3 linked regions of the Daphnia pulex genome follow. Each later gene encodes a partner of the first gene's protein in a complex. Links are inferred from orthologs where the notes say so. Each region holds a gene or a part of one and is shown in the gene's direction. Other genes may lie near its edges. The genes, in order: integrator complex subunit 1-like, integrator complex subunit 12-like and integrator complex subunit 9-like.

What was found.
Region 2: integrator complex subunit 1-like (region 1) and integrator complex subunit 12-like share a complex: the UniProt entries of both Homo sapiens proteins name them as parts of the integrator complex. The link is inferred for Daphnia pulex from reciprocal best matches to the Homo sapiens genes INTS1 and INTS12.
Region 3: integrator complex subunit 1-like (region 1) and integrator complex subunit 9-like share a complex: the UniProt entries of both Homo sapiens proteins name them as parts of the integrator complex. The link is inferred for Daphnia pulex from reciprocal best matches to the Homo sapiens genes INTS1 and INTS9.

The regions. Positions count from the first base shown.
Region 1 is NC_060019.1:12,571,927-12,575,680, reverse strand, and holds the start of integrator complex subunit 1-like, read left to right. Parts: upstream 1-1,132; 5' UTR 1,133-1,202; coding exon 1,203-1,380; intron 1,381-1,618; coding exon 1,619-1,815; intron 1,816-1,888; coding exon 1,889-2,527; intron 2,528-2,587; coding exon 2,588-2,670; intron 2,671-2,727; coding exon 2,728-2,962; intron 2,963-3,035; coding exon 3,036-3,277; intron 3,278-3,338; coding exon 3,339-3,465; intron 3,466-3,533; coding exon 3,534-3,754. Other genes in the region: histone H2A deubiquitinase MYSM1-like, read right to left, coding at 1-21, 90-436, 502-708, 768-867, 923-975. UniProt on the Homo sapiens protein: Component of the integrator complex, a multiprotein complex that terminates RNA polymerase II (Pol II) transcription in the promoter-proximal region of genes.
Region 2 is NC_060026.1:13,198,452-13,201,641, reverse strand, and holds integrator complex subunit 12-like, read left to right. Parts: upstream 1-1,038; 5' UTR 1,039-1,160; coding exon 1,161-1,331; intron 1,332-1,385; coding exon 1,386-1,489; intron 1,490-1,547; coding exon 1,548-1,670; intron 1,671-1,728; coding exon 1,729-1,845; intron 1,846-1,909; coding exon 1,910-2,390; 3' UTR 2,391-2,468; coding exon of another isoform or gene 2,469-2,517; 3' UTR 2,518-2,551; downstream 2,552-3,190. Other genes in the region: adapter molecule Crk-like, read right to left, coding at 323-354; eukaryotic translation initiation factor 2D-like, read right to left, coding at 2,469-2,517, 2,595-2,726, 2,802-3,074, 3,145-3,190. UniProt on the Homo sapiens protein: Component of the integrator complex, a multiprotein complex that terminates RNA polymerase II (Pol II) transcription in the promoter-proximal region of genes.
Region 3 is NC_060027.1:3,457,655-3,461,408, reverse strand, and holds the start of integrator complex subunit 9-like, read left to right. Parts: upstream 1-1,531; 5' UTR 1,532-1,669; coding exon 1,670-1,678; intron 1,679-1,747; coding exon 1,748-1,942; intron 1,943-2,006; coding exon 2,007-2,209; intron 2,210-2,269; coding exon 2,270-2,471; exon of another isoform or gene 2,472-2,533; coding exon 2,534-2,667; exon of another isoform or gene 2,668-2,734; coding exon 2,735-2,847; intron 2,848-2,911; exon of another isoform or gene 2,912-2,920; coding exon 2,921-3,101; intron 3,102-3,169; coding exon 3,170-3,609; intron 3,610-3,685; coding exon 3,686-3,754. UniProt on the Homo sapiens protein: Component of the integrator complex, a multiprotein complex that terminates RNA polymerase II (Pol II) transcription in the promoter-proximal region of genes.

The DNA.
Region 1 (3,754 bases):
AAGAGTGGATTTTTTACCCGCCTAAAGAAAGAATTTTAAAAATATCTATATTGAATCAATGGCAGTTATTGTTTAAATATTTGTCATACCTTATTTCTTTTGTAGGAGATTTTGGTTTTGAACGGTTCGTCTTTTTGCTATTTTTTGTCGGAGTCAAGTCCCACTTGGTAGGTGCCACACTAGCAATTACTTCTTCTGTGGATACAGCAGGGACTTCTGCTTCATAAACAATGTCACCCATAGAAAAGTGAAAGGTTGGTTCTTCGTTTGTAACTTCCACTTCATTGATGAACTGAGGAGGTGATGGGGTATTGGAAATGTGAACTGAGGAACTTGTAATAAGTTCTGGATGTGATTTAATGTAACTTTTCACTTGAAGAGTAGTCTTGGTTCCAACTGCTCTAGCAACCTTGCTCCAATTTTGATTGTGTAGACCCTTTAATAAAAGTATCAAGTAAGTTACACAGTCCTGCCATAATCAGTAACCACTCCGACACTTACAATTCCTTTACGAAGAGATGCAACATCATCTTTAGTCCACATAGGACTCACTTTTGAAGCAACTACAGCAGATGTTGTGGTTGATGGAGGGTTTGCCATGGGTAAACTGTTTGAAAAGTGTTTTTTCTCTTCATGGAGCATATTCTCCCAATTAAGTGTTTTGTTCTTATCTTCATTGGCATGATCCATCATTGGCATATTCCAAACCTGTGAGAAAGTTAGATCTTGCTGTACCCAAATATAAACCACTTTGAATAAAAATTTACTTGTGAACTTTCAAGAAGCCAAGGATGTTGCATATAATCGCCCAATAATTCCGAATTCTGTGTAGGAAACTCCCCGGCATCGTATTGGTTCAAATCCGTCCTGTGATCAAATGTCAGTTAGTACAAATAACATGCAAACAAAAGCTTGTACATACTCAAGATTTAGACAGAAATCCCCTAGAACATCAACTTCATCGTCGTCTTCCATTTTTCTTAACGAATGTGTTTTCACAACAAGCTTGATGCCTCTATCACTAATTATATGCCAATTTGCTGCAGACGACGTGTTGAGGGGGGGGGGAGGAAAATGTCGTATGCGATTCGCTTTACAAACAGAAATGCAACCACGCTTTCTTGCAGAAGACACTCGCAGACTCGGCTCAACCAAAAACAAAATCAGTTTCGAAGAGGTGTTAATGCTGGACGGTAGTTATAATGGATCGGGGCAAGAATTTGCCGCCTAAAAACTCCAAGTCAAAACCCCTTGGATTCTCTGGTGATTTTATTGCTCTTGGACCAAAGCAAAGTCGAGCAGAACCAGTTGATGCAAAGAAATCAGGATCTTCTTCAGGTGGTCCATCAAAACCCACTCCTGCTCCACTTCCTTCTTTGGGTAAAATGAGAACAAAAATATTTCTATTTCCATTCTTTCTTTCCCTGGTCCTGACCCTGACCAATAACTTGCTTATCATATCCTTTTATAAATTAAGTTTGAACATGGATTATAAAATTTTAAACTTATCCACATTCCTGTTTAACAATCTCTTTTAACTCGGTTCAGCTACTATTATTATTTATTCTTTCAGTCTGTACATTAGCCTTAAAGAATGATATGTTTCATGACTGTGTAGGTCCTTCAGATAAAAAGCGGGAAGCACCAAGCCAGCTGCCAGGTTCATCTCAAAATCCAGCTAAGAAAGCAAAGCCTGGGCTCCCAAATACTGCATCCTTTACTGCATTGGGAAGACCTGCTTTGAAGGCTGCTGATCCTCCCAGTCCAGGTTCGACTGGTAACAGACTAGAGCCATGGGAAGAAGCTGCTATAGAGGTAGAGTTACTCAATCTTCTGGATTTTATCAATTTATCTTTAAATAATGTTTCTTTATAAAAATTTATTCAAGATTGAAGCATCAGAGTTGTTGAATGCTATTGGAGAGGCTGAAAGTAATGATGATGAAGAAAGAATTGAAGCAATCCTATGTGGATCAGTTAAGCAACTGAAAGCCTTTAGTCTGAGTCAACGGAATAAAGTGGAACCCATTCTTGCACTAGCCCTTGTCTACTTAGCTAAATGGAGATCGCAATATTTCAACACCGAATTGATTGTTGAAGCTTTATTGGTATTACTCAAACGAGACGTTACCGCCAGTATTGGTCCTTTTAAAGGAAGGACAACTGCTTCTGCAGCTTCACTGGCTTGCAATTTGTTGTTAGCCGGTCTAGAAGATTCAACGGAATGGCCAGAATCTTTCTTGAAAGTTTTTGTCGAAGATTCCGTTGGAGAACGAGTTTGGGTAGATCGCGAAGAATGTCAAGGGTTTGTCGAGAATATCCTAACGGCATTCAACACCAAAGTCCCTTCAAGGAACATCCTTCAACAAGAAAGTGCTACTGGCACTGGACTTGGATCTTCTGGTGCTGCTAGTTCTCCTAGTATAACTTCTCTTGGCACCACTGGTCTTGAAGATGATGCCAGCGTGGATTCAGATAACAGTCAGGGTGGGCTGCTTCGAGGTTCAACTCATCTCGATCAGCAACAGGTAACAAGTGGGATTTAAATTATGCACATAGTTGTATTTTCATTGTTACCTTTTTCTTAGGTTCGAGTTATTCCTCGATTTCAACATCTCAAAGACATGGCAGAAGCACTTGTCATGGAAATAGTAAATCAACATTTAAGCAGGTATTAAAATATTTGAGTTGCATTAAGGTTAGGGTAATATAATCAATGGTTTCTCAGACGGCAGCAACCGGCATCTGACCTCACTACAAGGAACTTCTTAAAGTTTTTGACATCAACAGCTGGTTTGCCCGCTGTAAGAACTCAAGCTGCCCAGCGATTGGAAATGTGGCTTTCCAATCAAAAACTTGTGAGACCAGCCACCGACCTCCTCCTCTCGATCTGCGTCAATTGCAGTACCGAAGCTCCTACAGACACAGATGTTCTAAATGCTCTTCTACGTTTGAGATTAAAGGTAGTAATAACGTCAATGTTTTTGTTTTAATTTCAGAACAAAAATAGTAATACTTTCTTCTTTTGATTTTCAGAGTAAACCGCTGCTCCAGACATATCTAACTTGTTTTAAAGAATTGGTCGAGCAGCAGGTGGACCAGCTTCCACTCATTGTGCGGTTGTTAATATTCAATGAGCTCTCCCCTTCTCGAGGACCGAATAACATGGCAGTACTGGCTGTTTTGGTCCAACCGTGGCCTGATCGTGCTGCCACAATTTTAGCGGACGTTTTTATGGAACTTCTACTCAATCGTGACGATTACCTTCGGGCACTCAGGTATTTTGCATTTGCAATTCACAGACGTGGACTGGGTATAATTAATGTTATATGTTTTTAGAGCACTATTACGTGAAGTGGTTCGCGCTCTCCGCCACGACTTACCTTTACCGACATTTTGTGCAGCTCTTTTACACGGTTGTATGCAAGAGAGACGCAAAGTTGCAATCAGAGAATTCGAATTCAAGGTTCGGTAGTATTTAAAAAAAACCATGTTAGTAGCAATACGAAATAATATAATGACTTTTGATACCAGGATCGGCTTTTGAATTCATTGGCAGACTTGACGACTTTATGCATTTTCCTTGCCATAAGTCCAGGTGTGCGTGAATCAGCATCTTTGGTCGCCCGTGGAGATTTGAGAGAGATGGAACTTTTCCGACAGTTTCACGTCCAAGCATCGGCCGTCCAAAGAGAATCGATCAGCTGGTTAAGAACGTCCATCCCGTCCGTGTTTGAGCCCAATCGGGTCGATTA
Region 2 (3,190 bases), on another chromosome or scaffold:
TCTTCATGATCATCATCTGTCAGGAATCAGTCATTTAATTGAGAGAGAGAATAAGGACATTGGCAATATGAGAGACTTTCTAAATCGAGGATGCAGGATGCATCACTGATTCTCTCATTTCTAAACAATCTTCCTTTTTTTTCTTTACCGTCTGGCTGGGGGGTTTTACTTGAAACCTAAATTTAGAAGCTAGAAGTTATCTGGTGGTTGCAGCCAACACAAACAAACAGCAATTTCCTGAGAAATTCACACCAACTTCTGGCTGATGAAGGAATGAAACAAATGACCTGTTAGAGATTAAAAAGGAATTTAAATGATTTACCTGTTCCTGTCGGCTGGCTCAAATGTAGACATGGCAGCAAGCGAAATGGGGTGGAAGCTTGCACAATCCAAGAATTTGTTCGTCAATTAGAAAATCCCCTCACACCCTTTTGTGAGGTGACTAAATGTCTTTTATCTCGACTTGAAAACAATCGACAACCGTGTCCAACAGGCCTCACATCCTCACTGAACCTCATACAGCACATATAACATCACTTTGATATGTAATCATCACAGGAGACGTGATATAACTAGTAACCTTTCGATCGTTCAAACGGATTCTATAATCACCAAATCAACTACACATCTCCTTTTCGTTGTGAGGTAATCACAGAGAGAAGAACAACGGCTATCTTGATCCTAAAAATTTGTGTTAAAAAATAACTCGTCGAAAGCTAAAACCAAACCAGCAACAGCGAGTCCGTCTGTGCAGAAGCAGAATATGAATGTCTTTCTGGCTAGACTCACAAATCTATCTAAGCCGTCGTTAGCAAACTACCGCTAGGTGTCATCGCTGAGTCTTATCGCTATTTATAGAATTCTTGATAAAACTCCGAATTTCTTTCTTTTTTAAAAATAAGACATCACATTGCGCGCTAATTAAATTTGGTGTCAAAATTTGCATACTTTTTGTTCATTAATAAAAAGAAAGTGTTGAAAATAAAATTGCACAATTTATTGAATCTGCCACCAGAGGGCCATTTCCTTCTTCACATTTATTTTGAAGTTGATGTTGATTCGGACAGAAGTGCTGTCGTGAATGGTTTGCTTTGAAAATAGCTCCAAGAACTCATTACAAATATTTACTATTATTAATATTTTAAATTCTAAGTTTGATAATGGATGGTCTTATTGAACCATATTTAATTAAAGCTATCAGTCTTTTGCATTCTAGTGCTAAAGATTCTGGTGACCAATTGAAATCTATGTTGGATGAAGCCATAAGATTAAAGAATGAAACCAACTCTTCTGTCAGCAAGTTGCCACCACCTTTGACGATGATCAAAAGGGTAATATATTTTTACTTTTTTTATGCTGTTGTGATTAAATCTCTTGCATTACAGGAAACAAAGAAGAAAAGTGACTTCTTCATTGATGAAGATGTTCCTCTCAGTAAAAGAAGGAAGGAATCTCCTCGATCTTCACAACCTTCATCTCCATCTTCTAGGTATGTATCCACAGTTTTGGATAAACTTTATACTAGTTAACTAAGTCTTGTATTACAGTGTTCTTGAGAAAAACAAGGAATCTAAGCGAAAACATGATAACATGTTCAATGATGATGAAGTTGTTCCAAAGAAATTCAAAGATTCCCCTCGTTCTTCACAGCCTGGCTCACCAGCTGGGAGGTGTTTTCCATTTGATTTCTTATTTATTAATTTTATTTTTAAAATTATATTTTCCTAGTTCACCACGAAATTCGAGATCTCCAAGTGTGGCTCGAAAAAGCGACGACCTCGATTCTTTGAATGACGCCGATGACTTGGCTCAGGAAATTATGGATCTTCACTGTGTTATTTGCACGTAAGTCTTATTGTTTGTTATAGTGATAAAAATATTCAAACTTTTTCCTCTCTCTACGTAACAGTGGCCTGGATGTTACTTCTGGAAATCAGCTCGTAGAGTGCCAAGAATGTCACGGCCTTTATCACCAGGAATGCCACCAACCGAATATTAGCGACGCCGAAGTTAACGATCCTCGATCCGTCTTTTTCTGTTCCGATTGTAGCAAGTCAATGAAAAAGACCGCTAGTCGACCTAAATCAAGTAGCAGTAGGGAAAGTCCCATCACTTTCTATAAAAGTCGATCTGACTCTCCGAGTTCCGTGAGTGGCAAAAGCTCAGCCGGCCTGGTAGTTAACTTCAGCAAACAGCAAACCTTGCCCCAGAAGCCAAATGGCGGCAGCGGTGCTTCAAGTAAGTCAACAAGCTCATCGAGCAGCAGTAGCAATTCTTCATCTGGAAATACTATTGGCAACACATCCCTCATTAACGCCGATAAACGACTGCAGAACATTAAGAAACGGGCTGCCACAAAATTGCAAGAAAAACGGAAACCTGGAAAATAGTCGGTTGTATATTAAACAGGCACCATCTTTCCGTGTTGTTTATTTCGGATTCCATTCTCTTATACAATTTCGCAAAAATTATTTTTTATTTTTGGCTTTTTTTAAGTCGAATCCTTGGATAAATTGCCTGTTAGAAAAAAGATAAAATTTTGTAAAGTTAATATTTATTTCTATTATTTTATTATTTAGTTTTAAAAAAATTACTTGGGAATTCCGTATTCATCGATGAGCAAATTTCCGACAAAACTAATTTGGTTACCCTGTACCAACACCAATTGACCCTTTTTAGCTGGAGAGCTGGTTATTGTTGTGCTAGCCGCCACGCCTACTTGGCACCTATTCAAACAGACAAGAGAAATTCGCTTACTTTTAAGAGACCCCTTCACCTAAAGAATGTGAGACCATTGGTACCTTCGAGCAAATTCGTCCAAGTCGATCCTGTACGTCTCAAGGCCACTGATGAGGGTGACCTTCTTGTTGCCAGCTCTCGATGCCGTGGTAATCTCGACTGGCTCCAACTCTCCTTTCACGATGACGGGAGCCGACTGGTTTGGGAAGATCATTTCATAAACTGTTGAAAGTTTAGCTTGACAGCGGCTCATTAGCTCTTCCCAGCTAAGCGAAGCTGCTACTTCGCCTTTTTTTAACATGACGTCACTCAAAATGGGATCCAACGTCACCTGACTGCACGAGCAATTGTGATAAATTTAGTTTCTACAACATTTTAGAAAGAAAGAAATCTATCTATTTAAACCTAGGATTGGTCGCATTTTGTAGCTGGTTCACTCGGACGTATTCAG
Region 3 (3,754 bases), on another chromosome or scaffold:
CTCCGTCCATTTAATCTAATCTATACGCCACACACGCTCAGACAGAGGCAGACATGCCCAATGTTGTTGCCTAGACACTCCCGAGCGCCAGCTGCATTATCGCTTATAACCTTTTGAACCGGCTGTAAAATAAATTCTTAACACACAGCGAGAGGGGGGGGGGAAGAAAAATTATATATATTTTGAATAGAAAAAAAAAGACTTTGAACTCTCTCTCTCCCCTCCCTTCTATCCGTTGATGGTTAAAACGGTCAGACGAGGTCACACACAACAAACACGTCGTAAGCAAGCTGCTGCTGCTTCCTCTTCTTTCTCTCTTCGAGTGTTGAGAGACACATCTCACATTGCTCCGGCTTCAATTTCTTGTAAGAGCCTTTAGCAGCAGCAGCTATCGTGTGTTGGAACACACATTTTTCTTCTTCTCTCGATAGATCACTCAACCGACCCAGCAGAGTATCGACATTTTTTTCTCTTTTTTCATTTCTGGTGAATAAGGGGGGAGGCCCCTGAGCTCTTTTGATTTCCCAACTACACTACTGTACTACTACTACCACCTACCCCATGGTATATATCAAACACACACACAAAAGCTTCTCTTTTTCATTCTTTTCTTTCCTTTTTGATATGGGAAAAGGGCCAGCAGCCGGGCAGATGTTTCCCATTTTGTAAAAGACCGTTCACTCTCTCCTTTTTGCTCACGTATATATATATATATACAGAGGAAAAATGCTCTCCCCTCTTTGGGTATAGTCGTTGGTCGTCTCCGACACCCATTTGTGATGTGTGTGTTGTGTTCCCCCCCATCGTATTTCATTTCCCTTTCTCTCCCCCTTAGTAACCGTGTCTGCTCTTATTTCTCTCTTCTCACACAGACACACAGCAGACTCCCGACCAAACACAGAGGCCAAGCCGATCATCGACCATGTTGTTTTCTTCATTTTCTTGCTTGGGTCTTGCTTATTGGATTCTTTTTATTGTGTGTGTGTTTTTTTTCTTCTGTTGTTGCAGGGGCATCAAATATATATAGGAGGCATTTCGACACCGGAAGCTGAAGGAGCATCACGTATCATCTCTCGCTGTGGAGAAAATGGTTCAATGACTTGGCCTTATCATTCACCAGTCCGGTTAGATTTTTTGGAAAGTTCCTTTTTCTTGGTTGCACCAAGATTTAGTTGAACACCCTACTGGACGGAGAACTGATAAGGGCGTGTCTTGCAACACAATCGACGAAATGGACGAATTTTTTTTTTTTGACAACCAACAAAACTGTATAGAGTGATATAATATTCTTTCGTTCTTAATCATTGACAAAATGTGTGTAACTTTGTAGCTTCTTTTGTTTCGCTTGTTTGTTGCGTATCCGATGGCGTTATTCAATACACATTCTCAAAAGCGAATATGTGATTCAGATTTCAATTTTTATTCTAGATTTATTTCTTTCGCGTTCCGGCGCTCTTATTTAAAAAAATAAAATAATAAAATAAAATGAACCTATCTTTTCAAGTTGAAAAATGACAACGCTGCATTGGGTTTTCAAATGTTAGTCTGCTAGCAGCTCGTGTAGTAAGTACGAACCGGACAAACAAACAAGTCTGGATCTGTCTGTCATATACCGAGTTTGAAATAAAAATTCTTTCTTGTCACTTTTCAGATAAAACGCGCCCACAACATGAAAATCGTAAGCATTTTAATATTTTCCTTTCACCGAAATGGAGCGGTCTGATAAACACAGTTTCTGTTTACATAGTACAGTCTGGGCGCCAACCCAAATAAACCCTGCAACATCTTGAATTTCAAAGGCGTTTCGCTGATGCTCGATTGTGGGCTGGATATCAACTCGGCCCTTCATTTTCTACCTCTGCCTCTCGTTGCCAGCAAAAGGCTCTCAAATTTACCAAACTGGATCCCGAGAGACACACAGGATGCTGCACTTCTTGATGGAGTGAGTTAGATTTGATCTCTTCTCTATCTTCGTGTCATTTCAAATGTTCATTTATCCTGTATAGGAACTGAAAGAATGTGAAAATCGAGTGTTGGTGGATGGCCCAATAGAGATACTGCCCCCTCAGTCAGACATTTTTGACATCTCTGATGTGGATACCATCTTGCTATCGAATCATGCCTGCATGCTGGCCCTGCCATTCATCACTGAAGAAACTGGCTTTAAAGGGAGGGTATATGCAACTGAACCCACCTTGCAGATTGGAAGGTATGCAACCTGCAATTGTTGTCACACAATATTGAGACTATATTGTATTCTTTGTCGTAGGCTCTACATGGAAGAACTGGTCAACTACTTGGAAAGGACTCCCAAAAATCAGCGAGCAAACAGATGGAAGCAAGTACTCCAGTCTCTTCCTCCTCCTCTCAGTGGGGCTCTGAGACCAAATGATTGGAAGAAAGTCTATTCCACAAAAGCCATCAATGCAGCCCTGGCAAAAGTTCGCATGGTTGGCTTCAACGAAAAAATTGTACGTCCTTTTTCGGATTTTTAAAAAATTCTTATGAAACAATATTAACCGACAACTTTTAGGATATCTGTGGTGCTTTAACTGTGATGGCCGTCAGTTCTGGATATTCCCTTGGTAGTTGCAATTGGATCATTCATTCCGGCTATGAGAAGATTGCGTACGTGAGCGCTTCATCTACTCTCACGACCCACCCAAGGTTCTATAAGCTTAATTAGTGTTACTTTTTTAACAAATTAATTTTATACCATTTTTTCCATATACAGGCCGATGGATCAAGTTGCCCTTAGAAATGCCGATCTCTTGATCTTGACAGCGTTGACTCAGACCCCCGTGGCCAATCCAGATTCAATGTTGGGCGAATTCTGCATGGCAGTTGGTAATTCAAATAGTAAAATTCTATTAAATTACATTAGAAAAAAACTAACAATGTTTCCTTAAACCTTTTGCAGCATCCACGTTACGATCGGGCGGATCTTGCCTAGTCCCATGTCACCCTTCCGGCCTTCTTTACGATCTGTTCGAATGTCTCTCAGTTCATTTAGACAATATTGGTCTTAGTCAGATTCCGCTGTTTTTCTTCTCTCCCGTGGCCGAAACTTCCTTGGCTTATTCCAACATCTTCGCTGAATGGTTCGGCTTGTCACATTTATTATTTTTCCGAAAATGTTTAGTCAACTTATCATCCTCATTTCATATAGGTTATCTTCAGGCAAGCAGAGCAAAGTTTATCTCCCAGAAGAACCATTTCCTCACGCCCATCTCATCAAAAATGGTCGACTGAAACACTTCCCAAGCCTGCATGCCGAAGGATTCACCAACGAGTACAGACAGCCATGTGTCGTATTTTGCGGTCATCCTTCCCTTCGTTTTGGCAATGTAGTTCACTTCATAGAGTTATGGGGCAGTCATAGCAACCACAGTATCGTCTTCGTTGAACCCGATTTCCCTTACCTGGAAGCGCTGGCCCCCTATCAACCACTGACCATGAAAATCGTTCACTGTCCCATTGACACGAGTTTGAGCTTCACTCAAGCCAATAAACTGATACGCGATCTCAAGCCAGGAAACTTACTCGTTCCAGACGTTTACCTCCACCCGCCAGTGTCGGCTCCCTTAAGATCAGACTTGGTTATTCAGGGTAAGTCTTCGATCGATTCCTGTTGAACTGGATCTAGTTGGCCAGTCAGTTAACCTTATTCTTTCTTTTTTTTTAGAATTGGATCCACCAGCATTGGGTATGAAGTCCTACCAGGTGTTACAGTTACCAATTAAGAGGAAGCAGG